Linked DNA regions of Lonchura striata. The protein of the gene in region 1 interacts with the protein of each later gene in a pairwise test. Links are inferred from orthologs where the notes say so. Each region holds a gene or a part of one and is shown in the gene's direction. Other genes may lie near its edges. The genes, in order: MID2, UNC45A, TOP3B and DCX.

Region 1 (7,576 bases):
GAGTTGTGTTAGAGATAGAGAAAGTGGTATGTAGTTTTACTGTCTTCCTTTTTATATAGTATATTAATGTATTTTAGCATAGTTATAATAAAGAAATCTTTCAGCCTTTTGAATTGAGTCAGACATCGTCATTTCTTCCCATTGGGTTCACCTGCGTTTACAATATTCTGATGTTCTGCCCTGCCCCTCACTAATCTCTGTACAAACCCCTGCTCTCTCTGCCCAAGCAAGTTCTGGGTGCCTGGACCCCTTTGTGGTAGGAGCTCAATAGAGACCCTCTGTGTCACCCCATACAAAGACTCTGTCCCTTCCTTCTGCGTTGCTCATGGCTGAAATCACTCACTTGTGCACCCAGAACACATTTTTAAAGACACTGCTTTGGGAAGGTTATGGCACTCCATCACCTCTGCCCACCACGACACTTGGGTGCCAGGCTGGAGGGGCTTGGGCCCCTCTCCCATCCTCGGGCTGGTGCAGCTCAGGCCAGCACAGCTGGCTCTGCACGTGGGATGTTGTGCAGAATGCAGAATTACAGCGGTGTAACACTGACCCCTGAGCTCCGCAAGCACCAGGCCTGTTTTTCCAACATGAATATGTGACAGCGGGGACCCACAGCCCAAGGATGCCAGGGAAAAGTACAGCCAGCATCTCATCCCTCTGCCTGATCTGAGGAACTCAGGAGCCTTTTCCTTGGCACAACAGGACTTTGTGAGCAAATCTGCTGCTGAGCTCCAGCATGAGGGAGTGGAAATGGCATTGGCAGTACAGAGATGTGCAGGAGATGGCTGAAAACCTGGCTGGATCGTTCTCACCTGTTAAAGCCTGCCTCCTTTCCCTCTTGAGGGTCCTGGGGAGGGGAGGCAGAGTGGGGGATTGCTCACAAACAGGGTGACACAAAAATCCTGTGAGCCTTCTGAAAGAGCTGTACTGGATTGGGGGAGCATACAGGGTTGGTCTGAATGCAGAAAAGTGCAGACTTGGGAAAACAGATTTCCTCTTCAATAATCAGCCCTGAGAGCCTGTGGGGAAGCTCATCTGCCTGCTGGGGCTTTGGCAGGTCTGTCAGACCACGGGGCCTTAACAAAGGTCTTAACACTGCCACTGAGCCCTTGTGTGAAGATGAGGCATCGCTCTTATCCAGCAGAGTAAATTCTGGGGCAGATGAGTACTCCACCTCCCTCGCCATGGGAGAGAGCTGGAGCTCGTCTCAGGCTCTGAAATTCCAGGCCTCAACATGAGGTGGTGCACAGCATCCACTGCTATCCCTGCTCTGCCGCTCCCTCCGCAGCAGGAGGGAGCGAGAGCAGAATGCCTTTGGGGAAGAACTGGGGATAAAGGAGGTGCTAATGAGAGCTGCAGAAATGAAATCATCAAAATGTAGGAAAGAATCGAGAAGAAATTCTTCTGGGGTAATTCATCCATCAAGCCCTGCTCGTCTCCACACTGGCTGCCTGCTCTTCAGAAGGAGTGGGAAGAGGGATGCAGAACTTCAAAGGATTTTTTTCCTCTGCGCTTTCCACTAGAAGCACAAATTTTCAAGGGGGAACCCTGCTTTATAACCTAGTGTTATTTAGTCAATCGGCATCCCAGGCACACGGCACAACTCGAGTGTTTCCATTCCTGTCTGTGCAATGTGGATGTGAGTGCAGAGCAGCCTTGGGCAGGAAAATCCCAATTCCCCGACTCCAAGCAACATGCTCACAGCCGTGTGATGCAGAAACCGAGATGGTCCCTTGTTCAAAATGCACAGATCCTAGAAGGGCTGCTGAGCACTCGCCACTCCGACACTGACACGCCTTTGTGGGCAGATGGAGATGATCTCCCCACCCTGGACTGCTCAGCACATCAGCGTGAGGAACTCTACCCTCCTGCTGCCCTGCAGCTCATTAAAGTGCCATTTGAACCCTACCCCTTCTGTGTTTTGAGTACATGCACAGACATGACACCACAGTAATTGTAAATATTTGCCCAAGGTCACCTCTGCCACTCTGCCGATTAATGCAGGATCCCAGCTAATCCAGTGCCCATCACGCCTCGAGGGAGGCTGGCATCTGCAGTGATCCATGAGGAAAACTGAGGGACTTAAACATACTGTGTCTCTGAGCTATGGTCTGGTGGGTGCCAGCCCACTCTGGGCCTTGGCATTGGGTCTGTTCAGCAGCTGGAGCCACAGCTGTGCACATCCACCACAGCCCCTCAGCTTGGGAGTGCCAGCAACAGCCAGATCCTGCAGAGCAGGGGAGGCACAGAGGCTGATCTCCACTGTGGCATCCCAGCAGCTGCTCCAGCCCCACGAGCTGGCTCCCAGGGTGCAGAGGAGACACTGAGACTGATCTCTGCTGTGCCACCCCTGCAGCTGCTCCTGGCCCTTGTGCTCCCTGGCCCTGCTCATTCTGCGGTGAGGCTGGCACTGGAGCTAGAGGGACATGGGCACACTGTGGAGCTGGCCACCACACACCTGGGCTTTGTGTCCCTGCTGTGGGAGGAAGGCTGAGGCTCTTGGAGATCAGAGCTGAGCTGCCACTGGTATCTGCACTCCAGCACTGCAGTGAGTGCTGGGCAGTCAGGTTGTCACCCAGAGACCCTTGGTGGTGGGACGCTGTTGTGACCTCCAGCCATCTGCTCGTTTTCACTGGTCTCAGTTCCCTGCAGCCTAATGTGCCATGTCTGGGGGCTGCACATCTCTGCTGTTGCTCAGCCACAGCCCCAGCTCTGCTCAGAGCCTGAACCCACCCATGGCTACCTGCTGTGGGCTACTGGTGGCTCTAAATTTGGAAAAGTGGCTTTAATTTCCTGCCTGTCCAAGGGTCAGAGGATGGGGCCCTGGTCAGGCTGTTCATTCACCTCACATTGCTCTGCACAGGTACAGAGACAAAGGCTGGTCCCAGGACAGCTCTAGAGTCTGTGATTTGGCCACAGCTGCCTGTGCTGTGCTTTCGCTGCTAGAAAATCAGAGATGGGGTTTATAATGCAAACAACATGGTGCATATTAACCCCCCTGTTGTCAGACCCTGCTGGAAGCAAGCATTTGTGATCCCTCTGCACAGTGAACCAGGTGAGAACCAGGCCAGCCATGGTGGTGGTGGCAGCCTTGGCTGCTCAGTGGCCTTGTATCTGTCCTGTCTCACTGAGAGCCACCGCAGGACAGCTGCTGTGTGCTCAGTGTCCACCTGGACCAACAACCACCATTCCTCTGTGTGTGTGTGCAGGGATGAAGGCGCTCAGGGCACGCAGGAGGCTCCTGCTGCTCCCGGCTCACAGCACCTCCTCCAGCACCTGCCAGCAGCTTGGCCTCACCTTCAGACACACCAGGAGCTTGGGTGTATTTTCCCTCATGTTTATTTTTAAAAGACGGCTCATTTTACACTCAGGGCAGCCTTCAAATATAAATAACCTGTGCCACATGTCCCCATATTACCAAGGAATAAATTACAGTTCTGGGTTCCCCCTCCCATGTTTCCCTTTGATGTTATTGCTGTGGATACATATATATATATATATATATGCACTTTGCACGCAACAATCCAACCTCACCCAGAGCTGGTTTGCTGTATGGAGAACGCTGGGTGGGACGTCCCTTTGTGATGCTGAATCAGGTGGTGAAAAGCCCATTTAACTCATTTTTCACTTTGAAAAAAATAAATGTGTTGAAAGACCCAAGGCTGTCAAGGTACCAAATCTCACCATAAACACACGGACATACGGTGCCATCCATCGCATGGAACACGCAGTTCCCCACATCTCCCAGGGACACACGCTGCCCCGAAGCCCGCAGGAGCACAGAGTGTCCCCGATGCTAGGGTGGGAGTGTCCCCCACCCTACAGGAACATTCACTGTCCCCCGCCTGAGGGAGCACACACACAGTGCCCGATGCCATGGAGCACACAGTGTCCCCAGCCCACGGAACACGCACTGCCCCGACCACACAGGGGCACGCACTGTCCCCACGGGGCATTCACTGTCCCCATGGGGCACACATTGAGGGGCACGCAGTGTCCCCATGGGGCAGATGCTGTCCCCACGGGTCACACACTGTCCCCACGGGCAGTCCCCACGGGGCACACGCTGTCCCCACGGGCAGTCCCTACAGGGCACTTGCTGTCCCCACGGGGCACTCGCTGTCCCCACGGGCAGTCCCCACGGGGCACACGCTGTCCCCAGGGGCAGTCCCTACAGGGCACGCACTGTCCCCACGGGGCACTCGTTTTCCCCATGGGCAGTCCCCATGGGGCATACGCTGTCCCCACGGGGCACATGTTGTCCCCACGGGGCACACACTGTCCCCAGGGGCAGTCCCCACGGGGCACGCAGTGTCCCCACGGGGCACACGCTGTCCCCACGGGCAGTCCCTACAGGGCACTTGCTGTCCCCACGGGGCACTCGCTGTCCCCACGGGCAGTCCCCCCGGGGCACACGCTATCCCCACGGGTCACACGCTGTCCCACGGCAGTGCCCCCGCCCCGCGCGCTCCCGCCGGGCCCGTGCGCGCTCCCGGCGCCGCGGCCTCACCTGCGGCGGGGCGGGGCCGGGGGGCGGGGCCGCGCGCTCGCACCGGCCCCGCCCCGCCCGCCCCGCGCGCGCCGCCGCCGCCGCCGTGTCCCCGCGCCTCCAAGATGCCCGGGCAGCGGCAGGGAGGCTCCCGCGGGCCCCCGGTACGTACCGGCGGCACCGGGGCGGGCGGGCGCGCCGGGGCGGGCCGGGGGGGCTCCCGCGGGCCGCCGGTAGGTACCGGCATCGGGGCGGGAGGCGGCACCGAGTCGGGGAGGGAATGCCGCGATCCACTTGGTAGGTACCGGGGCGGGAGGAAGCACCGAGCCGGTCGTCGGGGCCGCGGCGCGGCCCTTCCCGCGGGTTTGCAGCGAGTGCCTGGGCGGCGGACTGCCGCCCTTCCCGGGAGCCGCCGCGGGCTCCCCCCGCTCCCGGTCGCCTCTCCCCGTCGCCGAGTGCGTCTGCCAGCCCGCTCCGGCACCTTCCGCCGCTCGGCGGGGAGACCGGGTGGCCTGTCCCCGCCCGGCGCTTCCCGCGGCCTTCCCGGTGCCCCGGTTCGCCCAGGGCCGTCCTGCTGGGGAGCGGCGGCGCGTTCCGGGCGGAGCGGATACGAACTCGCCGGCTCCCGGCTCCCCGCCCGCGGCTTTGGGGATCCCGCGCCCACCCCGTCATGCCCCCGCCTTCCCCCTCGCCACGGGTTTTTCGGTGGACAGTGTCGTATCCCTCTCGCCGCCCAGCCCCGTGCCCGCGCTCCAGCTCCGCCGGTTTGTGGTGCCGGGCTGTCGTCGCTGCCGCAGAGCCGGTGCGGGGCCGGTGCTGCCCCGATCCTCCCGGGCCCCCCCCGCTCCCCTTCCCCCAGCGCGGCTGGGATCTGCTGAACTCCAGGGCCATGGAACTTAATCGCTAGCGGGCTCCGAGACCGGCGCTTCGGAAGCCGCAGAGGAGAGACACGGCCACGTGTGGGAGGTCTGCCAGCGCTGCCCCCCGGGACACCGGGGGTCGGGAGACGTTCCCGGGGTACTGCCCGCGCTTTGGGGTGTCAGCGCTGAGCCGGCAGCCGAGTGTGTTTGCTTGCGCCGAGGATCTGTGCGGCTGCTGGAATACGCGCCCAAGTGACACCTCGTTCTCGTGCTTTATTTTTCTATTTTGCCTCAAAAAAACATCCCAGCCGCAGGTTTATTGCCCCGATGCGCGCAGCTGGCGAGGGCTAGAGCACGGCTGGAGCGCGGTGAAGGGCCGCTCTGCCCAGCGGTCTGCGGAGTTTCCGGCGAGGGCAGATGGCTCTGCTTGCTCCGTCATTCCCTCAAGTCCGGACACGCCGGCGTTAATGGCTCCTGCCCTTCCTGGCTGCCGCCCAGGTCTCCCCAGCCAGCCCGGAGGTTTCGGCTCGGCTTTTGTTGTCGGAAGGCGGCTTCAAGGAGACCGGCTCTGCCGGAGGAGCTGCCGCAGCCGGGTGGGAGCTGGCAGCGGTGCGTGGCGGAGCGCAGGGCGCTGCTGGCTCCCGGGTGGCAGGGGGGCATCATCGGGCAGTGTCGGGCAGATATGGGAGATGTCACCGACCTGCCGGGGGGGCATTGAGTGTAGGCTCGAGTTGCTCTCAGACCCTTCTGCAGTGCCCTTCCCTCCTGTACCCCGGCTGCAGCGGGCAGTGACCCTCAGTCTGTGCTGGAGGGGCTGTGCAGAGCTGCTTCCGCTCCTCCGGGTGTCAGGGGCTCTGTGCTGAGCTTGTCTCTGCTGCATTTTGCCATCAAGGAGCACACTCGAGGCTTGGCTTGTGCCCCTGAACAAGGGGTAGTAAAACTGGCCACAGTACGGAGGGAAGGAGGGAGGCTGGCCCAGGCAGCAGTGCTGGAATACCCTCGAACCGAGGGGATGTTCCCTGAGGACACTCCTGGGAAAAGACAGTAAGTGCAATAGCACTACAAGCAGGAAGGATGAATTGATGCCAAGGACAGCAGCAGCTGTCTCGGTTCAGGCAGGTGGCTGCAGAGCCCTGGATGTGCCGGCTGCTGCGATCCGAGCTGGGTCTGTGCCCTGTGCAGCCTTCCATGGCGGCTGCGAGGCCGTGCCTGTGCACAGCCCACGTCCTGCCTGCTTTGGAAGTGCTGCTTTGCAAAAGAAATGGAGCTGCAGTGGGTGATAAATCCCTGCCTTGCAAAGCGTGCACCGGGTGAGCTGTGCTGGCCTCTGAGGTGTGTGTCGGTGTGTGTGCCTGTTTGTGAGCAGAGTGGGATTGGCCCTGGGACCATGTGAGATGGATAAATGACTTACTTTTAAAGCCAAGATTTTGTTGTCTCCTGCTCCGTCCCCTCTAGGGATGGATAGGTGTTTCTAAACCCACGCTGCGACTCACCTGGGCTCTCTGTGGGTTCCTGAGCTATCAGCTGTGGCTTCTGTCGTGTGGAGGGGTGCCTTGAGCCTTTTAGCTCTTGGGTCAACCCCTGGCTTTAAGGGCGTTGGAGCATCCTGAAGACTGGTCTCTGGAGAGACCAAGGCTGTCCCATCAGAGATGCTGGAACCAGAACTGTCTGGTTCACTAAAGGAAGCTGATGAGCAGTGTGATTACTTTGTTCGTCTGGAAGGAGTTCTGCTGCTGATTACAAACACCTTCTGTAACAAACCCACCTTAACCTGATCGAAACCCCTCTGAGGCTGGTGCTCCCCTCATTGCAAGGGGAGGGTGGCTGCTCCCCTGAGCTCCCTTCTGGAGAGGGACAAAGCCTTGGGGAGCCTGTGTTGCTGCTTTCACTTGTTTTCAGTGTTCTTTGCCTGGAAAGCGAGTGTGTTGCAGCCAATGAGTGCCATCATCTGGTACGAACGGGCAGCCCTGGCAGCCCCTCTGACCAGGAGCATCCCCCGGCCTCAGGCTGCTGCCTCCAACGCCATCGCTGGCTGCTGTGGAGCCTGGGTCCCAAAAATGCCAGGGCAGGGAGGTCAGCTGCGGGAGAATGCTGTGTCTGTGTGGCTCTGAAAGGCTCCTTGTGCTGTGCGAGGGCGGGGGGCTCCAGTGGCGTGCAGGGAGCATCTCACCCCTCGGATCCCGGGCGCCTGCCTGTGTTCCTACGCAGCACTGGAAACACTGGGCTG
Region 2 (7,320 bases), on another chromosome or scaffold:
GCTCCGGCTTCTTTTCCAAACTGATCTCCATGTTTAAAGCCTTGAGCTTCCCTGGCACCAGGACTGGCAGCCGTGAGGTAATGGCCAGCCTGGCCCTGCTGTCTCTCCCTGTCTTGTGCACTAGCTGCTAGCCACTAGTCTAGCCAGGCTTGTAGCAGGTCTGTAGCCTGACCATCAACTAGCTGGGGTCCTGTTTGGGTGCTGGGGCGGGGGGGGCTGCTTGGGCAGGGGCAGCTCTGTGTACACTGTGCTGGCAGGTGCCTGGTCTCAAGGCACTGCTGGAATGGAGGTTCTTTGGGCCTTGCCCAGGCTCTGCCTGGCTTTCTGAGCCCACACTTGACCTATGTGCTGCTTGGCAGGTGCAGGACGAGCGCCCCATCAGCTTCCCCTCCCTGCTGAGCCACATCACCTCTGTGCACCAGAATGCCGAGGCCTTGGTCATGCCAGTGGCATTGGAGAAGCCAGCGCTGCCAGCCCTGCGCTCCTTTGTGCCCCTTGCCACCACCCTTCCTTGCGACTTCCACATCCTCAATCTGCGGATGCTGCAGGCAGAGGTGAGCTAGGGCCCGGGGCGGTGGGACTCTGGTGGGAGTCCTGCCCCTGCTGTCCCCCGTGCTGTGCCTGACGCTCCAGCTCCCTGCAGGATGAATCATTGCCCTCAGCTGAGGCAGCGCTGATCCTGCACCGCAAAGGCTTTGACTGCAGCCTGGAGGCCAAGAACCTGGGCTTCAACTGCACCACCAGCCAGGGCAAGGTAGGGCCAGGCTGCCCCCATACCTCCGCTGGGTCAGAGCTGGGCTGGGACCTCGGCATGGCAGTCATGGCACGTGTCAGGCTGCCTTGGGCACAGTGCTGCCCCAGGCATCACATCCTCATCTAGGCCTCCTCGCTTCTTCCTCCTCTCTCCTCAGCTAGCTCTGGGAGGCCTGTTCCAGGGCTTGGAGCTGGGCTCCCTGCAGCCCACCTCATTGACACTCATGTACCCGCTGGGCACAGCCTCCAACAGCACCAACATCCATCTGGACCCCATGGAAATCGCCACGTTCCGCATCCGCCTGGGGTAGTGTCAAGCAGGAGAGGAGTGGAGTGGCTGGACAGCACAGGAGCAGCACCAGTGCAGCAGTGGAGTGGCTGGCAGTACTGTGACAGGCACGGGCAGGAGGGGCCAGACTGGCACAGGCTGCTGCTGCCACTTCCTAATTTATTAGTTCCATGTTCTCAGATGGATTTTGGACTGACTGCTGTGGCAGGGCTGGACCAGGCGTTGCTGGACGTGGCGCCGGATGGGCTGAGCGTGGCTGGGGAGGGCTGCAGGCTGGGCTCTGCTGCTGCTGGTGGGACAGACACTGCTGCCTGCCACAGGCAGGCTGCCCAGGAGGGCAGCCACCCTGATGGCTGGGGCAGGGGCCCCTGCAGGGCTCCCCCTGCATGGCAGGGCAGCAAGGGGAGGCCAGGAGCACCGGTGGTGTTGGGCAGCTGCCTGAGGAAGTGCTGTGGACTGGGGACTGACCTCTCCTGGAGCTCATAGGAAACACAAGGCTGTTTCCAAGGGCCCTGGTGTTATGTGTGGTTTGTGGCTCTCACTCGAGAGTGGGAATGGTGTGCTGTGGGGAGACAGGGCCTCTGAGGCAGGCAGAGACCAGCTTGAAGGTCTGGCCAGGCACCTGTGAGAGTCTGGTGGCATGGCCAGGCCCAGCTGTGCTTGGAGGCAAGCAGTGCCTGGTGCTGGGCAGGAGCCAGGGGGATGGGAGTCAGTTCCTTGTGCGGGCAGCAGTGCCTGGGTGAAGTGCGGGAGTGCCTCCCCCAAACCCAGAGCCTTTAGCCCCTTTTCAGAGTGAGCCTGGCGGTCCGCTCTGCTGGGGCTGCAGTGGCTGAGTCGCAGGTAATTGCACCATGTCACCAGAGCATCCTCCTGGTTGCTGTGGGAACCACAGGTCATACTTCCTGGCCCCTTGGGGCTACTTACTCCCAACGGCCAGCAGGGAGGGCATTGGGAAGGACTGGGTGAGGTGGGGAACTGCCTCAGCTCTGGCTTGGTTGGGTTGGACTGGATGAGCTTAGAGGTTTTCTCCAACCTAAATGATTCTGTGATTCCACGATTCCTGCACAACCCCCAGCACATCCACATCCCATGGGTTTGGCCCCTGGAAGCTCAGCACCTCACAGCACTTGCCCTGTGCCCTGGCCTGGTGCAGCGCCCTTTCAGGGACTTCCCGGATGGGCCCATGTGCCCAAGTGGGGCCCTGGACACAGCAGCTGGTGCCATGCATCCAGCTGGGAGTGGAGCCTGCTGTCCTGCTCCTGGCCCCAGAAGCTCATTAGTGATGCTCCCGCCCCCAGCCCAGTCCCTGTGGGCAGAGTGAGTGCAGGAAGCTCTAATGGCTCTGAGCGGCTCTTGGTGGAGGCTGCGATGGAGGCGGGAGCAGGAGGGGCTGTGGTTTCTGCCTCCACTGGAGCCAGAACTGCCTCTGCCTAGGGCTGGCTGAGAAGATGCTGGCTGGGCACCTGCTCCAGCTGCTCCTTACCGCGGCTCTGTTCCCCAGCATCCTTGGGACAGGTACAGCCCCATTCCTGCCCCTCCTATTCCCTGAACCCATCCCTGATGGGGCCTTGTCCCTTGAGGGTTGCTCCCCGACAGCCCAGAACAGAGGTTGGGGGTCTGTGCTGGGAGGCAGTGGTCTGCAGTGAGAGGTGGTGGTCCATACTGGGGATGGTGGCTCAGGTGTGGTGGTGCTGGGGCTACTCCTGCTGCAGCACATCTGCGGTGTCCAAGTGCTGTTCCCACAGGGTCACAGGGAGGGGTTGAGCACGGGGGCTGGGGGCTGACCTGATGTCCTGGGCGTTTTCCCCTCCTCTCTGCCACCAGCACCGCCCCTGCCCACGTTTGCCCTTGCCGAGGCCTTGGTGAGCACCGGAGGTCACAGCATACACAGGGCCATGGCACCAGAAGGCAGTGCCAGGGGAGCTCTGCTCCGCCACTGCTGCCTCGTGGGGTGTAGCCTGCTCTGAGGGCCGAGCCAGGTAGCCCTGTGCCAGGTTAGCCAGGCTCCCTGGGGCTGGGGAGCCCTCAGCCCAGGCCAGCCCAGCCCTGCTGGGACTGGGAGTCCCTGCTCTGCTGCATCATGGCAAAGAGCATGTCGCTGGAGCCTGTCCTACAGGCACTGCACAATTCCTGTGTTCTCCTTCCCTGCCCTCTCCAATGCGTGCTCCCCGCTGCAGTCTCGGTGCAGAACCTGCACCTCTGCGAGGGCTACGTGGGCCCTGATGGCCGCTTCCACCCCGGCTTCTACTGCCCGCGGCTGACCGACCCCCCCGGCCACCGCTACTGCTGCCAGCCCAGCCTGGACACTCTAAAGTCCTGCTGCTCTCAAGTGGCCCTGGAAGCCCTCACTGGAGTGAACCTCTCCAGCCTGGCTAGCCCTGGTCTACTCCGGTGAGCAGGGCTGCAAGTGGCCATGCTGTTGAGGATGGGGGGCCCTGGGGACTCCTGGCACACCCCCAGGGGCTTCTCCTGGTTGCTGGGGCAGGGGCTGTGGTATCTTTTGAAGCCCTCAGGGGGCCTCGGATGGCCCTCCCCAGTACCAATGGGGCTGCCCCTCCTGAAGTGCCCCACCCTGCAGGAACCCGCTGGCCCTGCCTTTCGTGGGGCTCTATGGGCTCCTTGTCCTGCTGCTTATGGCCATCGACCTCTGCCACTTCTACTGGACCCGACGGTGCCACCTCGGCCGCCTGCTGCCCCGCGCCTGCCGCGTGCCCCGTGGGCTCCCGCGGGGGCAGCCGGCCGGCGCCCGTCCTTCGCACCGTGTCCCCCGCGGGACGCGCCCCGGCCGGGGCTGCTGAGGGGCGGCCACGGGCAGGGCAGGGCTGTGCGCAGGGGGGACGGCACCCTGGGGGACGGGGGGTCACGCTCATACCGGGGTGCAGCACGGGGGGTTTGGGGGGACACTCGATCTGTGGGGCTAAGTACGAGGTTAAGTACGGGGAAACACTCACACTCCGGGGCTAAGTTCGGGGTTAAGTACGGGGGGACACTCATACTCCGGGGCTAAGTTCGGGGGCTGTACCGGGAATACTCGCACTCCGGGGCTAAGTACGGGGGGGGGGGGGGGGACACTCGGGCTCCGGGGCTAAGTACGGGGTCTGTACCGGGGGATACTCGCTCTCCGGGTGCAGCGTGGCGGGGGATGCGTGGCGGGGACACGCGGGGACACACGCCGGGCTGCCGCCGGTCGGTGCTGGCACCTCCGGGCCGCGGGGCGGCGCTGCAGGCTCGGCCCGCCCGCCTCCGGCCGCGCCCCGTCACGTGGCAGGGGCGGTGGCGTCCGGGTTCCCCAGGCGATCGGCGGTGACGTCACGGGCGTGGCGCGATGGAGGAGCCGGTGAGCAGGGCCGGGCGGGGCCGGGCCCGGGGGTCCCTGTCCCTGGGGGTTCCTGTCCCGGGGGTCCCTGTCCCGGGGGTCCCTGTCCCAGAGGTCCTGTCCCGGGGGTCCCTGTCCCGGGGGTCCCTGTCCCGGGGTCCTGTCCCGGGGGTCCCTGTCCCGGGGGTCCCTGTCCCGGGGTCCTGTCCCGGGGGTCCCTGTCTCCGGGGTCCCTGTCCCGGGGTCCCTGTTCCTGGGGGTTCTTGTCTCCGGGGTCCCTGTCCCGGGGGTCCCGGTGGTGCCTGTCCCGGGGGTCCCTGTCTCGGGTCCGTGCGGGCCCGGGGCTGTGTCCCAGCCGGTGCCCCTCGGCAGGTGACGGCGGAGCAGCTTCGGGCGCGGGGTAACGCGCTGTTCCAGGCGGGGGATCACGGGGCTGCCCTCGCTGCCTACACGGAGGCTTTGAGCCTGAGCGACACCGCGTCCGAGCGCGCCGTGCTGCACCGCAACCGCGCCGCCTGTTACCTGAAGCTGGTGAGCGCGGGCGGCAGCGGCCCTGCGGCCTGCAGGAACCTGCCCGGCTGGCTGGGGCTGTTCTCAGGCAGTCACAGTGTCTCTGATCTCTTGCAGGGAATCTTTGTCTGGGGCAGGGGGTGAACACGAGGAACTTTAGGGGCTTGAGGAGACCAGAAGTGCCTGAAAAGCTCTGGGGGCCGTAGGGCTCCCTGGACACCTTCTGAGGGCTGTACTCTGGGAAAGACAGGGTGGGAAAAACACTGTGCTGGCTCCCTGTCTACAGTAACGCTGTTCTCATCCTGTCCCCAGTCCCCAAAGTTAGGGGTGTAGGCTGTGTGGGGCCTGTGCCAGCAGTGCTCAGGCATTTTTCTCTCCTATCTCTCCACAGGAAGATTACACCAAGGCGGAGGCTGATGCGACTAAAGGTACTGTCCGTGGGGCTGGGGGACCAGTCCCTGAGCTGCCCGTGGGGGCAGGCCCCGGGCTCTGCCACTGACCCCTTGTGCACAGCCATCGAGGCTGACGGCCGGGATGTGAAGGCGCTGTTCCGCCGCAGCCAGGCACTGCAGCATCTGGGCCGCCTGGACCAGGCCATCAGGGACCTGCAGCGCTGCGTCAGCCTGGAGCCCAGGAACAAGGCCTTCCAGGAGGCCCTGCGCACCCTGGGCAGCAGCATGCACGACAAGGTTGGCAGGGAGGACTGGAGGTGCTGGCCCGTTGTGGCTGTGGGCAGCAGGAGAAGCTGGGGAGGACTGAGCCACTCTTTCTGCTCTGTTGCAGATGAAGGCCATGTCCTGCACGGACTCGAAAGTAGAGCAGATGTTCCAGATCTTGCTGGATCTTGAAGAAAAGGATGCGGACAAGAAGCAGAAAGTCTGAGCTCAGGGAGTGGGGCGTAGTGCTGTGGCTGGGAGGAGAGGAGGGGAGGATTGTTGCCCCTGGGCCAGCGGTGGCTGAGTGGTGCTGCCTGGGCTTGCCCTTGCCCCCCTCAGAATGCTCCCCAAGACAGGGCCGGAGGGTGGGTGCCTGCAGCTGCTGGTGCACAACGTGCTGCCATGACCCAGACAGAACTCTCCTTCCCCAGGCTGCGCAGAACTTGATCGTGCTGGCTCGAGAAGAGGCTGGAGCAGAGAAGATCTTCCAGAGTGACGGTGTGCGGCTGCTGATGCAGCTGCTGGACACGGCCAAGGCTGACCTGATGCTGGCAGCCCTGCGCACACTGGTGGGACTGTGCTCCGGCCACCGCTCTCGTGTAGGTCCCACCACACCCTATGGCTGGGCCCAGGGCAAAGCTGGGGAGGCTGCAGAGTGTCAGACAGGGGAGCTCTGAGCTGTTACCTGCCAGGCCTGAACTTGTGAGAGGAAGCCATCCTGATAAGGGGCGGGGAAACGGCCAGGCTTTCCCAAGGCCTCCGGAAGACAGGTGTGCTTGTACCTGCAGACCACAGCCATCTTGGCAGAACTGGGAGCACCCCGTCTTGCAGCGGTGTTGGGAGTGGAGCATGAGCAGGTGTCCCTGGCTGCCTGCAACCTGCTGCACGTGATGTTTGACTCCCTGAAGGAGGGGCTGCAGAAAGACTTCCGCGGGAAGGAGGATGCAGTGGTGCTGGGTGAGTGTGGGCTGCCTTGGCTGGCTGTTGTATGGGGAGAGATGCAGGTAGGTGCAGAGGTGCCATGGGGTTTTTTGCTGCTGCCCTGTCACTGCTCCCTGCAGCAAAGCTGGGCTCTGATGCAGGGTTAACAGGAGGCAGAAGCCCCTGGTCATGGCAGCATCTCTGCCAGCTGTGCTGCAGTGGGGGTGAGGCTGTGCCCAGGGTGCTGACTGCTGGGGACTGTCTTTTTTGGAAGATTCCTCCAGGGACCTGAAATTGCTGATCAAGCACCTCTTGGAGCTGCTAGTGGTGGAAGGGGCCTCAGCACATGGCCGTGACAACGCCCTCAACCTGCTTATCAAGGTGGTGCCCAGGAAGTCACCAAAGGAGACCAACAACAGCCTGAGCCTCTGGGTGATTGATCAGGGTTAGTGGAATGGCTAGCAATGTCCTGCTGGGGCATCGTGCTCCTCTGCCCCAGGTCTGCTCATGCCACTGCGCCCCTCACTGGGCTGTCTGACCTTTTCCAGGCCTGAAGAAGATCCTAGAGGTGGGCAGCACAGTGTGTGGCAGCGCGGGCAGCCTGCCTGTGACAGAGAACAGCCGGATGAGCACCTCTGTTCTGCTGAGCAAACTGTATGAGGACCTGAAGTGTGATGCCGAGAGGGAAAACTTCCACCGTCTGTGTGAGGACTATGTGAGGTGAGCCAGGGTGTCCTGGGAGTGACGGGGGTTTTGTCACCTGCAGCCTGGCAGCACCTGTCAGGGGGTCAAAGCTGACTGGGGACCTGCTGTGGGGGGCGTCAGCAGGTGGGGCAGGAAGAAGCAGGTGGATCATCCTGACCCTTTCTGGTGGT
Region 3 (7,156 bases), on another chromosome or scaffold:
GAGACTCCGTGACTCGGTGGCCCCGCAGGGCTCGTGGGTGTCCGGCAGCGGGATCCCTTCGGGCCGGGGCAGCCCCTGTGTGGCCCCAGGAACAGCCACACGCATCTGTACCAGCCCGGGGTACACGGGGACTCAGAGTGTCCGGAGTCCCTCGGCCACGTGGGGGAGAGTCCCGGCTGTGCTTTCCCGGGTGAACGCAAGTTGAAATTTCATGTTTCGTTGAGCATTCAAAGAAAAAAGGAAGGTTGGATTTTGTAGAGGGCTTTTACCAGAGGAAATTAAAAAATATGTATCTGACATATCTGAAGACTTGGTTTTAACTCGCATCCTGATTGTTCCAGATGTTCCCCAGATGTCAAAGGGAACCAGGCATTGAAAGAGAAGAACACATTTGTTTTAATATGTTCGAACTTTAATATTGCCAAAGAATTAAAAGGCCTGGGCTTGTTTTGATTTTTCCTTTCGCTAACAACTTCAGTGTCTATTAATTGTCTACTAATCAAATTGAAGGTGAATTAGTTCCTTTTTATTTCAGCCAGCATGAGGTTGATATACATCCTGATCCTGGCTGCTTCCCAATCTCTTCTCTTTGGGTTTTTATGGTACTGAGCAGCTCTGGGAAAAGTGCTATAAACATTGGCAACGATCGATGCACAACCACGGGGGTAAAAATAGAGAGCTGAGCTCTTTCCACAAAGTGCTTATAAAAACCCATCAACCTGGGGCTTCCCTCTTTATCTCTTCCCTAGACAGATTTCAGGATGTGTGGAAGAGCTGAAAGATGCAGGAAAGGTTAGAAACAGCTTCAGTCCACTGACCAAATCTCCTTAACAGGGCCCAGCATCCCTGGGAAACAGGACAGAGCAAAGAGTCCCTCCATGACTTGGAGAAAGGAGCTGCAGCTTTCAGGGGCAAAATCCCCCGGGGGAGCCCTTGCCTTCTCCCTGGGGAAAGGAGGCACGAGGGAAGGGTGTGCTTCTGCCCAGCCTGACCCTTCTCTTCCCACTGTTTTTTCTCTTTTTTGTATTTCTGCTTAAATGAGACATCAACGTTAATCTAAAATCTAATGTGCAAAAAAAATACACTTTTTCAAGAATCACTCAATATTGTTTCCATGATCTAATCAGGGTGCAAGGGAAGCAGGTGCTCTTAAGAGTCCTAAGGTGAATTTATCTGTGTTAAAGGAGATGCTGTCAGTGTCCGACACTGTTTGTAGCGTTTCGGGTCTGCAGGAACTGTAACCTGAGTGACAGACTGGCACAGGCACAGCGGTCCGTGTCGCTCGAACACAGCAGATACAACTTGTGTGTGTGTTCCCTTAGAGGGGTTGGGTGATACACGTTCTGTGCACCGGTGTGGATGAAGGAAGGGGGCATCTGCACACCATGCGGCACGGCACCGGCGGTTCCCGCGGCACAGCTTCCCCACGGGCTTCGGCAGGAAGGGGAGGCGGTGCGTTGTGCCGGTGTCCCTGTGCCGGTGTCCCTGTGCCGGTGCCCCTGTGCCGGTGTCCCTGCGAGTGACCCGAGCGGCGGCCGCGCCCAGCCCGGCCCGGCCCGGCCCCGCCGCCGGGAGCGCGGGGGTCGCGCCGCCCTGAGCCGCCAGGGGGCGCTGCAGCGGGGGGCGCCAGCCCCGGGGGGTCTGAGTGTGAGAGAATGCGTGTGTATATATATATATATATGTATATATATATATATATGTATATATTTGTATGTCTGTGAGTGCTTATATGTGTGTGTATGTGTCTCTGCATGTACATCTATGTATGTGTGTATATGTCCGTGTATACCTGTATATGTCTCTGTATGAGTGTGTATATGTGTGGGTGAGTTTATATGTGTAAATGTGTGTGTATCCACGCCTGTGCGTACGTATGTGTCTGTGTGTCTGTCTGTGTCTGTCTCTCTGTGTGTCCTTGTAACCGCATATGTGCCTGTGTATGTCTGTGTGTGTATGTCTGTGTGTGTCCACACGTTTCTGTGTGTGTGTGTCTCTGTGTATGTATGTCTGTGTCTCTGTGCGTGTCCGTGTGTCCGCACATGTCTCCGTGTGTGTATGTCTGTGTCTCTGTGTGTCCATATGTCCGCACAAGCCTCTGTGTATGTCTGTGTGTCTGCACATGTCCGTGTGTGTATGTCTGTGTCTCTGTGTCTCCATGTGTGTATGTCCGTGTCTCTGTGTGTCCGTGTCTCTGTGTGTCTGCACATGTGTCCGTGTGTGTATGTCCGTGTCTCTGTGTGTCCGTGTGTCCGCACATGTGTCCGTGTGTGTATGTCCGTGTCTCTGTGTGTCCGTGTGTCCGCACATGTGTCCGTGTGTGTATGTCTGTGTGTCCGCACATGTGTCCGTGTGTGTATGTCTGTGTGTCTGTGTCTCCGTGTGTGTATGTCCGTGTCTCTGTGTGTCCGTGTGTCCGCACATGTGTCCGTGTGTCCGCACATATGTCCGTGTGTGTATGTCCGTGTCTCTGTGTGTCCGTGTCTCTGTGTGTCTGTGTCTGTCTCTGTGTGTCCGTGTGTCCGCACATGTCTCCGTGCATGTATGTCTGTGTGTCCGCACATGTGTCCGTGTCTCTGTGTGTCCGTGTGTGTATGTCCGTGTCTCTGTGTGTCCGTGTCTCTGTGTGTCCGTGTCTGTCTCTGTGTGTCCGTGTGTCTGCACATGTCTCCGTGTGTGTATGTCTGTGTGTCCGCACATGTGTCCGTGTCTCTGTGTGTCCGTGTGTGTATGTCCGTGTCTCTGTGTGTCCGTGTCTCTGTGTGTCCGTGTCTCTGTGTGTCCGTGTGTCCGCACATGTGTCCGTGTGTGTATGTCCGTGTCTCTGTGTGTCCGTGTCTCTGTGTGTCCGTGTCTCTGTGTGTCCGTGTCTCTGTGTGTCCGTGTGTGTATGTCCGTGTCTCTGTGTGTCCGTGTGTGTATGTCTGTGTGTCCGCACATGTGTCCGTGTCTCTGTGTGTCCGTGTGTGTATGTCCGTGTCTCTGTGTGTCCGTGTCTCTGTGTGTCCGTGTGTGTATGTCCGTGTCTCTGTGTGTCCGTGTCTCTGTGTGTCCGTGTGTGTGTGTCCGTGTCTCTGTGTGTCCGTGTCTCTGTGTGTCCGTGTCTCTGTCTGTCCGTGTCTGTCTCTGTGTGTCCGTGTGTCCGCACATGTCTCCGTGTGTGTATGTCTGTGTGTCCGCACATGTGTCCGTGTCTCTGTGTGTCCGTGTGTGTGTGTCCGTGTCTCTGTGTGTCCGTGTCTCTGTGTGTCCGTGTGTCCGCACATGTGTCCGTGTGTGTATGTCCGTGTCTCTGTGTGTCTGTGTCTCTGTGTGTCCGTGTCTCTGTGTGTCCGTGTGTGTATGTCCGTGTCTCTGTATGTCCGTGTCTCTGTGTGTCCGTGTCTCTGTGTGTCCGTGTGTGTATGTCTGTGTCCGCACATGTGTCCGTGTGTGTATGTCCGTGTCTCTGTGTGCCCGTGTGTGTATGTCCGTGTCTCTGTGTGTCCGTGTCTCTGTGTGTCCGTGTGTGTATGTCTGTGTGTCCGCACATGTGTCCGTGTCTCTGTGTGTCCGTGTCTCTGTATGTCCGTGTCTCTGTGTGTCCATGTGTGTATGTCCGTGTCTCTGTGTGTCCGTGTCTCTGTGTGTCCGTGTCTCTGTGTGTCCGTGTGTCCGCACGTGTCCGTGTGTCCGCACATGTGTCCGTGTGTGTATGTCCGTGTCTCTGTGTGTCCGTGTCTCTGTGTGTCCGTGTGTCCGCACATGTGTCCGTGTGTGTATGTCCGTGTCTCTGTGTGTCCGTGTCTCTGTGTGTCCGTGTCTCTGTGTGTCCGTGTCTCTGTGTGTCCGTGTCTCTGTGTGTCCGTGTGTGTATGTCCGTGTCTCTGTGTGTCCGTGTCTCTGTGTGTCCGTGTGTGTATGTCCGTGTCTCTGTGTGTCCGTGTCTCTGTGTGTCCGTGTCTCTGTGTGTCCGTGTGTCCGCCCTAGCCCCGGCGCACGTCTGTGTCCCGCGCCTTGCGCGCCGCCGCGGCGGTTGGGAGCCGCCCGCGCCTTCCGGCGCCGTGACCGGCAGTGACGCGGCGGGCCGCCCGCGGAGGCCGCTCGGCGGGGCGCTGTGCCGGGCGCTCGGGGCGCGGTGCGCCCGTGCCCGTGCCCGCGGTGCCGCCGTGGCCCGGCGCGGGCGGGCTGAGCGGCGCTCCGTCCCTCCCCGGCTCCGCCGGGCCGTGCCCGCGGCTCCGCGCCGCGGCGGCGAAGATGAGGACCGTGCTGATGGTGGCGGAGAAGCCGTCGCTGGCGCAGTCCATCGCCAAGATCCTCTCCAGAGGTAGGCGGGGCGGGTGCCCGTGCCCGCCGCGGGGCCGGCCCGGCCGGAGCGCGGCGGTGAGTGCGAGCTGCCGGCTTTGCACAGGCACCCTGGGCAGCGGCTGCCTTGTCTTGGGGCCGGAGCCCCCTGGCAGCGCTGGCTTCGGAGAGGTTCATCAAAGAACGGGATGTCCCATCACGTTCTGATTGTTTCTATGGGCTGATGCCTGTTTAATCCAAGAATAAAGGAATCTAGTTTCAGTATTTTGCCTTAGAGCATGCGGTGTCTGGAAAGTGCCGATCAAGTAGGCAGTGGCTGTTCTGAGATCTGTGAAGTAAAAGTTTTATAAATATGGAAAATAAAGTTATTATAAGTGTGTGTTCTAGAAAACTAGCTGTATTTTCGTAAGGTTTCATGGTGGGAGGGAAAGGCTGGTGGAGATAATGGATAGTTTAATTTGAAGATAAAATATCCTTTAGGAAAGCCCTGAATTGATACTTACTGAAATGAAAGTTTTATCAATGAGTAGATCTTTCTCATCAATTATCAGAAAGGATCAATGATCAGAAAGACCGTAGCTGTAAGATCTAAGGAAAGGAAGATTTAATTTCACACAAAACTATTTGTTTCACTAGCTGGGGTTTTTTCTACCTCATTAATATTTATGATCTTATTTTCACAGGGAACATGTCCTCTCGCAAGGGACTCAACGGTGCGTGCTCTGTGCACGAGTACACCGGGTCCTTCATAGGACAGAGCGCCCACTTCAAGATGACATCGGTGTGTGGTCACGTCATGACTTTGGATTTCATAGGTATTTGCCTGCTCGTCAAATGTTTTAACTAATATGGCTTGTAGAGCTGCCAGGTCCTTCAGAAAAACGAAGAGGTTTCTTGGTATACAGTAAAGCAAGATCTGTTAGTGTAGAAAATTTTCCACATAAATTTTGAAAGCCAAGTGTTTTGCAATGTGAAGCTGTTTGTTTTATAAATATTTCTTCAGAGCTCCATTTTATATACTTTTGCTTTTCAGGAAAATATAACAGCTGGGACAAAGTGGATCCAGCAGAACTTTTTAGTAAAGCTCCCACAGAAAAGAAAGAAGCTAATCCCAAACTGACCATGGTGAAATTTTTACAGGTATTCTTTCTTAGGAGTAGAATTTAAAGTTAGCATTTTCTATGTGCCTAAATAAAAATTCTTCCAGGGAGTAGCTTTTTGTCACAGTTAGATCTATTTTATTAACATAATATAAATAATTTATTTTTGCTGATTCTTGCGCTGTCTAAAATCTATGTTAAAGTCACTTTTCCCATTGCCTTCTGAGTTTTTTGACAGTTGATATTCTGCTTCTGAGAGTTGGAGCACTGGATGCAAGTTTAACTTTATAACAGCAAGTGTAAGCACAGCTTATAAATGCCTTCTTTAAAATAAGTCTGTGTTGGTTACTGTTCACACTTCACACACCATGCTGAAACCAGGAAAAAAATATATGGGTAGGGAGGGGGGAGATGTTGTTTTGAGTTGCTGAAGAACTGTGCTGATTTTTCTCACAGGTGGAGGGAAGAGGCTGTGATTGTATTGTCTTGTGGTTGGATTGTGATAAGGAAGGAGAAAACATCTGTTTTGAAGTAAGGTTTCAATTTTTAAGACTCACAACACCATAATATATGTCTGACAAGACTATCAATGCATTGTTTTATGAGTGTACAGTAAAATTCAAACTAAACTTGAATAAAGTTTTAAAGGCATAGAGGGCCTTGGTGGAAAAGCCCACATGCTTTTAACTCTGTAAGATGTCAGTTAAAGAGTATAAATAAATTTCAGAGGTGTTGCTCATCTCAGATGAAGAATCAGGCCTCTTAAATGTTAGAACATTCCAGTACTTCAATAATTGGCCTGTATTTCACAGCTGGAGAAGTTATTTTTATGTCCTTATAAAACTTCATCTGTTATCTTTTGTTTATTAAGCAATTAGATTCCTTGGAGCACAGAAGCTGCTTGCAAGTATAATCATGCTGCTTAAATTTTGCTTCTGCACATAAAAAGCAGAGAACACATAGAACAAAAACTTTGCTAAGATTTTTTTTAACATCCAATTCCCAGAAGCCTACATGAAGAGTACTTGTTTGGAGATTTTCTTTAGATTAAAGAAACATGTTTTATGAAGTGATTATTGTAAGTTCCTTTCTTACCCCTGTGTCATTACTTGTGCTTAGCAATGAGTAGAATAAACCCAGATAGACATTGGTACATGTTCACCAAAAGCTGCTGCAGCTGCACTGCTGAATGTCTTTGCCCTTAGCCAAAAATACTGATTTGCTCCCAGCAGTTGCTGTATAGTAGATAATCCCTTCAGTTTTGTTAATTCTTTATATGCTTTTGAGTGGATGGACAAATACTGCTCTGGCTTATCAGTTAATGTGTGAGCATGACATCTTGCTGAAATAAGAAAGCAGTGACACAGAAACAAATATTTTGTGGAGAATGTTTTTTTTTTATCTTTAGAGAGAAAGCCTTTATCTTTCAAATCCTTTTTAAGTACACTTCTGATTTTCTTTAGGTTCTTGATGCTGTTCTTCCTGTCATGAACAAGCCTCGTGGCACGGAGAGGACGATTTACAGAGCTAAATTCAGCTCCATCACCGACACAGACATCTGCAATGCCATGAATCACTTGGGAGAGCCCAATCGCAACGAAGCTCTGTCCGTGGATGCTCGCCAGGAGCTGGATCTGAGGATTGGCTGTGCCTTCACAAGGTGACAGCACAGACTGCAGACAGTTTTGTCAAAGGTTCAAGAGGGGCTCTGTGCCCTCATGGTTTAATGCCAGCCAAACCCCACACAGCCACTCACTGCCTCCCCGCCCCTACTT
Region 4 (7,504 bases), about 2.6 Mb from region 1:
GACAGAAAGGATCTGTGTTTGAGAGGAAACATCTTGCACTTCCAGCTTGAATGTGACATGATCCTCTGTGATGGCTTTGATGGGATTTTCCTTTCTATCACTTAGAATTCCATCAGGAAAGTCCTTCAAGCCAGTTTTACACTCAGCAGACATTTTGAGAGAGGCTGGCAATCAGGTGTTCAGTTACAATTACTCTATAAAATGAAATTATCAAGAAATTATTAAATTCTTGGTCACAAGTCTCCTAACTACTATGATGCAGCCCTTGGACCACCTTGGAAAAAGGAGAATTTGGATGTTTTTTGGATGTTTTGCTGATCCATTTGTCATGACCTTGGCTGGGGCTCACAGACCATGCATAATACGTAATTTGGTCAGCACTAATGTACTGACAAGCTCAGAGGGGTTCTGCACACTCCTGGGTACAGGCATAGCCATGGATTTCTGCAAGATTTGCACTTTGATTTTAAGGCAAAACGTTGCCACTGAGAAGCTGGATTGTGGAACTTGCTAGCTCTGGCAGAGTTCATTCAAAATACACAGGGGGTGTGCTGGGGTGGGGTGCTTCACTTCCTGCTGTCAGGGAATTTATTTTCAGCTGGGAAAGATTTATTAATTGTGGTGGCTTGTTGTAGAAGGGAGGGGATTGAGCCAGAAGAGATCTAGTGCTGAAGGTATTTTTCTCTTGGATGACTTTTGTGGGGTTTAATGCTTTGCTGTATCTGGATGTGTTTGGAATGTCTTGAGTTCATTGAGCTGCAGAGTTGCCAGATACTCAGCACAGAAAATGGCCTTTTCCCTTTCAGCCTGCTTCCTGATGGTCCCTCAGAGGATGCAAAGGCCCCTGGCTCCCAGATTTCAGAAATACCCAAAGCTAAAGTCACCTGCTGAGGCTGAGGGCATCTGCCACGCTGTGGGGCTGCCATGCCCTGGCTCAGCACAGCCTGTGGGGTGTGGAGCAGTGGCAGGTCCCACCCGGGGGACACTGCTGCTGTGGCCACTCCTGAGCAGTCCCACACTGAGGTGGCCTCAGAGCTCAGCAGCTTCTTCCACCCTTCTCCTCCTTCCTCACACTGAAAATTCTTTCCCTGCTCCTCCCTGGAGGTTCCAGTGGTGCTCAGTCCTTCAGCCTCAAGGTCTGAGCAGCCCCTGCAGATGTTTCCTGGGCTTGCAGAGGGGGAACTGCTCTGCAGGTGACCCTCCACCCTTCTCTCCCCAGTGGCTGGGCTGACTTTGGCTCTCCAGCTTTGGTATTTAAAAGACTTTCAGATGTGTGTGGTCCCTATAAAAATAAATCTCCAAAGGAGACAAATGTTATGTGGTGAAAGTCTGCCAAGTCCCCATTGCTTATTAGCTCGTAGTATTCTGTAGGAGGAACTTAGCTCCATAGCCTGATGTAGGGTAACTCTTTGATGAACTCTCACTCTTTTGAAGGTTCAGATTTAAAGGATGTTGCTCTATAGGGTCAAGACTGAGCCATTGACTTGATGGGATTTCAGCTGTGAGTGCCTTGACACACTTGTCAGACCCCTGCAATAACAACTTGTGGTTTCAGAGAGTTTTGGTGTTTAAGTTACATTGAGCAGAGCTCTGACAGCAGTGGTCAGGGATGACAATTTCCAAATTGTCCAGAACCACAGAGGTTAAAGTAAGAAATGTAACTAAACACGTGCTTCTAAATAGACTGACTTGGAGATGTTGATCCAAGGCTTCCTTCTAACCCAGTGATCCCTTGATTTTTCTGTGATCCTGTGGTACAGCCAGACCTTGGCTGCTTATCACCCCAACTTTTATCTTCTTCAGAAAATGTGCTGTGCTATCAGAGGCAATTTTTACAGAAGTCAGGAAGTTGCATAGCAAAGCAACAGGGCACTGACATAGAGTATCTGAGACTGCAGCTCCTAGTGATGCTAGGAACTGGATTTTCTAGGTGTATGTGAAGAAATTAGCACACAGCATTCACACAACCCCTGTCACCTGCAGTCTGTCCCTTTCCAAAGTGTCACAGTTGCTCAGCAATGTCAACAAACATGTATTTATACGGATTTATTTACACAGGAAAAAGTCTAAATATTACCTTCCTGGAGGAAAGATGATTCACCTGATTTAAAGTAGATAATTTAATCTGAAGAGCTAAATTTATCTTTCCTTTGCAGCCAGATGAAATTATTGATGGGAAGTGGAATTTCCTTACCAATTCTCAATCCCTCACACTGCCTAAAATTGTTTAGACTATGATGTCTCAGAGGGTGAGTCTCTTCTGATATAAATATGTTTTGACTGGCATTAACTGCTTAAGGCCAAGGAAGAAGCTCTGAGGAAGAACTGAAGTCAGGAGCAGACCCTTGCTTTCCTCAAGGAGGTGCTGCTTATTTCTGTGCTGATGTCTGTGGTCTGAGGTGATTCTGTTCTCACTTGGAGAGAAGCAAATATGGTGTGATTTCACTGAGGACATTTGAAATCAGTCTGGCTCCAGGGCTCTTCACCTCTGGTGGTGCTCTGGCTTGTGAGATCCTCCTGATCTTGTGGAGGATTAAAGGAGGACACACTGGAGGTGTTTTGGGCATGGTTTGGGAGGAACTCAAGGTTTCACCCAAGAGGAACCTTACCATGATTTGCTGTAGAAACCTTATCCTTCAGCCAGGGACAAATTCCAGTTCTCTTGTTGGAGTAATTCTGTTAAAGTGCCTTGCAAAGGAAGTGCCTGTGCTTCAGAAAGCTCCTGTCCCTGTCCTGAGCAGACACAGACACGCTCCTCTCACAGCAGCTCTGGGCTGGGATGCAGAAAGAAGAGCCATGTGTTAATGATGCTTGACACCCTTTGTTGTCCTCAAAACTTCCCATACAAGTCAAATTTGGGAGACTGACACATTGTGGTACAATTCTACCTGTGTCTACATCATCCTGCCTGGTTACATTGGTGTAGTACCTGGATCCTGAGCCATCATCCCAAAAATTTCCTCTTCTCTGTCAAAGCTCTTGTGCCACTGAAGGCTGAATGAAGACTCTCCTTTTCTCTATTCTTGCTGCTGCTGTACTTGGCACATGCTGAATGATTTATATTTTTGGCAAAATTTTAAAGCACTGGCAGATTTATATTTACAGAAGTGTTGTGTTAAAGGAAAGAATTGTTAATTCTGGACAGATTAAGCTCCTAGTGATGAACAGCCAGGAATTATCTAATTAAGAATATAGGACCAAATGGGAAGGACAAGGTTTGAAGTCCCACATAACCCCTTGCAACTGCATCCAGAGACCCACTGAAAGATACCCTGGAGAGGACAGACCCTGTTCTTCCTCTCCAGGGCTAATTCCTGAGGGGGGAGAGCAGCTCTGTCTCCTCTGCAGTGATCTGACCACGCACACAAGGGAGCAGCCAAAAGCTCCAGCAGAGGATGCGTGGGAGCCTTTGAATAAAAAGCTAGTTTCAGGGAATAAGAAACTTTTTACAAATGTCATGTGTGAAAGTTGCTGGCAATCAGAGACCAACTCTCAGTGGGTTTGTGTCAGTGTTGCCTGGACTATCATGCACAGGGCAGACAAAGCTGGAATAAATACTAACTCCTTCTGTTTAAATGTGATACTGCTGTGATGTGCCAAAATGACAACATCTGATGTTTTCACTCGAAACAGACGCAGTGTTGTTAGGAAAGATTTCCTTCTACAGATGGGAAAACTCTCCCATTTCCAAATCCCATTATTTTCTAACGTAAAGATGAGGCCAGTATCAGTGGGGTTAGGAGCAGGGTTAGTGGTGCTGCAGCATAGAAATCTCCACCCAGAAAGCAGGTGAAAGATTTTGCTGTCAAAGTGAAAGAGCTCAGTACAATTTTTTAACAGCTGGCTCCTCCTGTAATGGAATCAGAAGATAAACTCCTCTTACTGTGGGATATGAGCAATGCTGGATCTGCAGGGTTTGGCTTGTGCTGGATGACTCCATCCCAAAGCCCCTGGGGATTTGAATGAACTGGGATTCAGCGCTCTGGCTTTGGCTTGTGTCCAATGTTAACAGAGAAAAAATATTCAGGGGCACCTCATGCAGAACCACCAAGTGAATTCTCCCTTTCTGCTTGCCAGTGTAAACCACAGATGCTGTGTAAAACCAGCACAGGAGCAGGACTGTGCCCAGTTCCACTGGTCAGAGATTTTTTCAGTTGCCTTCCTAATACCCAGGAGTCTTGTGCCAGCTCTGTGCCACACTGTGGGATTGTGACTGCGACCCCCCTGTAGAATTGGGGCAATTATCCAGTGTTTTTTTCCTAATTCTGTATTTTTCATTTGGATCAGACGATTTCTTGGTACAACTGGATTCAAGGGAAAATTTGCATCCTTCCAAACACCACCCCCAAACCTGCCCCTCTAACCTTTTGTTTACTGATTTGTTGACATATCCAGAGCTGGAATCAGCCCCCTGTTTCCCCCTCAAACACAGCCTGTGAGCAGGCAGCTGATGGTGAGAGTGAAAATCACTGAGGCAAAGTTACCGTGAAGGGATGGAACAAGGCACTAGGACCTAGGAGGCGTCTCATCCACCCTGGCAGGAATTTCTTGCTTGGAGCTCAGACAACAAAGGCAGAGTGAGCCTGGTTTTCTTTCTCTGAGCATCTCCACCCTGCACGCTGAAAACCGGTGAGTAGAGCTTTCCTGAATGACTTGCATGCAGAAAAGTAACAGGAGGAATCTTTTCTTGGTGCCTTACAGCATCTGCAGTTCATTTTAAAATCAAAACCCCTGCATCCTCTGATTCATTCCCGAAGTTGCTTGGATGTTTCATTGTTCAGTGCATGACACCAGACTGAATCTACCCCAGCTGGCATCGTGGGGGGAACGTTCCCAACTTGGGGTTTCTGTGTGGAATGCCTGCATTGTCATCTGCCTCGCTGCAGCCTGGGGACAATGATTTTTTCTTGCATGGGTCACGCTGACATTGTAAAATACAGGGAAGGAGCTTCATTCTGCCGAGTGTAAAGGGCGGGGATGCGATAGCAACAGCTTTTCCTGGATTTATACCTGGCTGCCAAGTGCTGTAAATCCCCTTTCAGCCCTGTGCTAACATGAGAACCACATACATGAGGTGCATGTGCCTGGTGGAGCCGGGGGAGTGGAAGGGTCTCGACTGCAGAGTTGGGGGGGTTCCTTCTCCTTTTGTGTTGGGGTTTGGTGCAGGGGAAAGGTTGTTCTCGAGCATAAACTAGAGACAGTGCAAAATTCCTGCTCGCTGGGTGTCAGCTCCAGCCTCGGCTTTTCTGTGCTGGAAGCCCCCGCGCTCAGAACAATGAAAGGTGAGGAGCAGGGGCGGCGTGTCCCTGGGGCACGGGCACTTCCAGCTATTAAATCACTTAGGGCTGGAAGCGGGGGGTGGAAATAGCCCCTTTATTTTCTCCTCCTCATTAAACGGGAGCAAAAATGCAATTCAGAGGAGGCTCGGGCTGAAAAGAGCTTACCGAAGCTGCGTTTCAATGACAGATTTTTCTTTGCAGTCATTTCTTCTTAGAGATGTAGGCTGGTCCTGGGAATTGATTGATGGGCTAGGAGGGGGCTGCGGATAGGGGGAAGGGTGGGCTGGATCTCATTGCTAACCCTTATTGAACAGGCTGTCACAAAGAAACTGCTTATTCCCCTGTGACCATTCTTTCATAAATGCCAGTTTATTCTAATGTTAAACATTCAGATGCTCTGGGTCCTTCCGTGATTCGACAGATTGAAGGGCTGACTTACTGGGATCTCCTTGTTTTCTGTTGCCAAAGGAAACCTCATAGGGCTCAGAGGTTTAATTCATTGCCAACTGGTGTTTGGATGAGGTTTTTTGGGGGCTGAGTTGTGATTGCCATGCATGCCTTTGGCCCCAAGTCCCAATTTGCTGCACTTTGAAAACTCCCAGGTGCAGGAGCAGGCAGCTCTCTAGAAACGTGTTCCCTGCCCCCAGTAGTTGGATCCCTTTCAAAATGCGAGGACCCCTCCTACTCTCGGTCCCCAGAATCGATACAAATCTGGGTCAGGGGAGGGGGCGCTTCCCAAATGCATCCGTCCTGCTCCAGACACAGCCTTAGCGTCGTTCTGCTCTCCGGATTGTGGCTCTGCTGGGCTCTAACCCATCCCTTTGCCCCCCTTCTCTCCCCATCTCCTTCCTGCCCAGCTTCAGATCTTTAGGGTTCACCAAACTATGGAACTTGATTTTGGACACTTTGACGAAAGAGACAAGGCGTCCAGAAACATGCGAGGCACACGGATGAACGGCTTGCCCAGCCCCACTCACAGCGCTCACTGTAGCTTCTACAGAACCCGGACCTTACAGGCGCTGAGCAACGAGAAGAAAGCCAAGAAGGTTCGTTTCTATCGCAACGGGGACCGCTACTTCAAGGGGATTGTATACGCCGTGTCCTCCGACCGCTTCCGAAGTTTTGACGCCCTCCTGGCGGACCTGACCCGGTCCCTGTCCGACAACATTAACCTGCCTCAGGGAGTGCGCTACATTTACACCATCGACGGCTCGCGGAAGATCGGCAGCATGGACGAGCTGGAGGAAGGTGAGGAGAGGGATGGGCAGGAGGGGGCTGCACCGCTCGGTGCCCCCAGGGTCCCCTTGCCCCGGCTCTGGGGGTGCCGAGCCCCGCTGTGCCCCGCCGGGAGGGTGGCGGGGCGGCTGCCGCGCCCGCCGGGTCCCCGCGCGGTGCGGGCGTGGGGCCGGAGGGCTGTGTCCGCTCCCGGCTGTGTCCGTCTGTCCGGGTGTGTCCGCTCCTGGCTGTGTCCGCTCCTGGCTGTGTCCGCTCCTGGCTGTGTCCGTGTGTCCGGCTGTGTCCGCTCCTGGCTGTGTCCGTCTGTCCGGCTGTGTCCCTGTGTCCGCTCCTGGCTGTGTCCGTGTGTCCGGCTGTGTCCGTGTGTCCGGCTGTGTCTGTGTGTCCGCTCCTGGCTGTGTCCGTCTGTCCGGCTGTGTCCCTGTGTCCGCTCCTGGCTGTGTCCGTGTGTCCGGCTGTGTCCGTCTGTCCGGCTTTGTCCGCTCCTGGCTGTGTCCGTCTGTCCGGCTGTGTCCGTCTGTCCGGCTGTGTCCGCTCCCGGCTGTGTCCGCTCCCGGCTGTGTCCGTCTGTCCGGCTGTGTCCGCTCCTGGCTGTGTCCGTCTGTCCGGCTGTGTCCGTCTGTCCGGCTGTGTCCCTGTGTCCGCTCCTGGCTGTGTCCGTCTGTCCGGCTGTGTCCGTGTGTCCGCTCCCGGCTGTGTCCGTCTGTCCGGCTGTGTCCGTCTGTCCGGCTGTGTCCCTGTGTCCGCTCCCGGCTGTGTCCGTCTGTCCGGCTGTGTCCGTCTGTCCGGCTGTGTCCGCTCCTGGCTGTGTCCGCTCCTGGCTGTGTCCATCTGTCCGGCTGTGTCCCTGTGTCCGCTCCTGGCTGTGTCCGTGTGTCCAGCTGCGTTTCTGTGTCCAGCTCCCGGCCGTGTCCGTGTGTCCACTCCCGGCCGTGTCCGTGTGTCCAGCTCGTGGCCGTGTCCGTGTGTCCGCTCCCAGCCGTGTCCGT

The links.
Region 2: the proteins of MID2 (region 1) and UNC45A interact in binary tests that used the Homo sapiens proteins (3 or more experiments, as listed by UniProt). The two-hybrid records come from large-scale screens. The link is inferred for Lonchura striata from reciprocal best matches to the Homo sapiens genes MID2 and UNC45A.
Region 3: the proteins of MID2 (region 1) and TOP3B interact in binary tests that used the Homo sapiens proteins (3 or more experiments, as listed by UniProt). The two-hybrid records come from large-scale screens. The link is inferred for Lonchura striata from reciprocal best matches to the Homo sapiens genes MID2 and TOP3B.
Region 4: the proteins of MID2 (region 1) and DCX interact in binary tests that used the Homo sapiens proteins (3 or more experiments, as listed by UniProt). The two-hybrid records come from large-scale screens. The link is inferred for Lonchura striata from reciprocal best matches to the Homo sapiens genes MID2 and DCX.

Annotation. Positions count from the first base shown.
Region 1 is NC_134616.1:15,075,836-15,083,411, forward strand, and holds the start of MID2 (putative E3 ubiquitin-protein ligase MID2), read left to right. Parts: upstream 1-4,568; 5' UTR 4,569-4,653; intron 4,654-7,576. UniProt on the Homo sapiens protein: E3 ubiquitin ligase that plays a role in microtubule stabilization. Mediates the 'Lys-48'-linked polyubiquitination of LRRK2 to drive its localization to microtubules and its proteasomal degradation in neurons.
Region 2 is NC_134613.1:24,392,318-24,399,637, reverse strand, and holds the start of UNC45A (protein unc-45 homolog A), read left to right. Parts: upstream 1-4,349; 5' UTR 4,350-4,367; coding exon 4,368-4,379; intron 4,380-4,730; coding exon 4,731-4,889; intron 4,890-5,259; coding exon 5,260-5,296; intron 5,297-5,381; coding exon 5,382-5,557; intron 5,558-5,651; coding exon 5,652-5,744; intron 5,745-5,955; coding exon 5,956-6,123; intron 6,124-6,312; coding exon 6,313-6,481; intron 6,482-6,719; coding exon 6,720-6,890; intron 6,891-6,993; coding exon 6,994-7,165; intron 7,166-7,320. Other genes in the region: MAN2A2 (alpha-mannosidase 2x), read left to right, coding at 1-77, 360-554, 644-754, 912-1,064; protein shisa-like-1, read left to right, coding at 3,135-3,433, 3,621-3,757, 4,174-4,349.
Region 3 is NC_134620.1:7,281,106-7,288,261, forward strand, and holds the start of TOP3B (DNA topoisomerase 3-beta-1), read left to right. Parts: upstream 1-4,152; 5' UTR 4,153-4,233; coding exon 4,234-4,303; intron 4,304-4,964; coding exon 4,965-5,096; intron 5,097-5,314; coding exon 5,315-5,421; intron 5,422-5,837; coding exon 5,838-5,912; intron 5,913-6,844; coding exon 6,845-7,041; intron 7,042-7,156. UniProt on the Homo sapiens protein: Releases the supercoiling and torsional tension of DNA introduced during the DNA replication and transcription by transiently cleaving and rejoining one strand of the DNA duplex.
Region 4 is NC_134616.1:17,687,175-17,694,678, forward strand, and holds the start of DCX (neuronal migration protein doublecortin), read left to right. Parts: upstream 1-4,500; 5' UTR 4,501-4,629; intron 4,630-6,097; exon of another isoform or gene 6,098-6,136; 5' UTR 6,137-6,163; coding exon 6,164-6,527; intron 6,528-7,504. UniProt on the Homo sapiens protein: Microtubule-associated protein required for initial steps of neuronal dispersion and cortex lamination during cerebral cortex development. May act by competing with the putative neuronal protein kinase DCLK1 in binding to a target protein.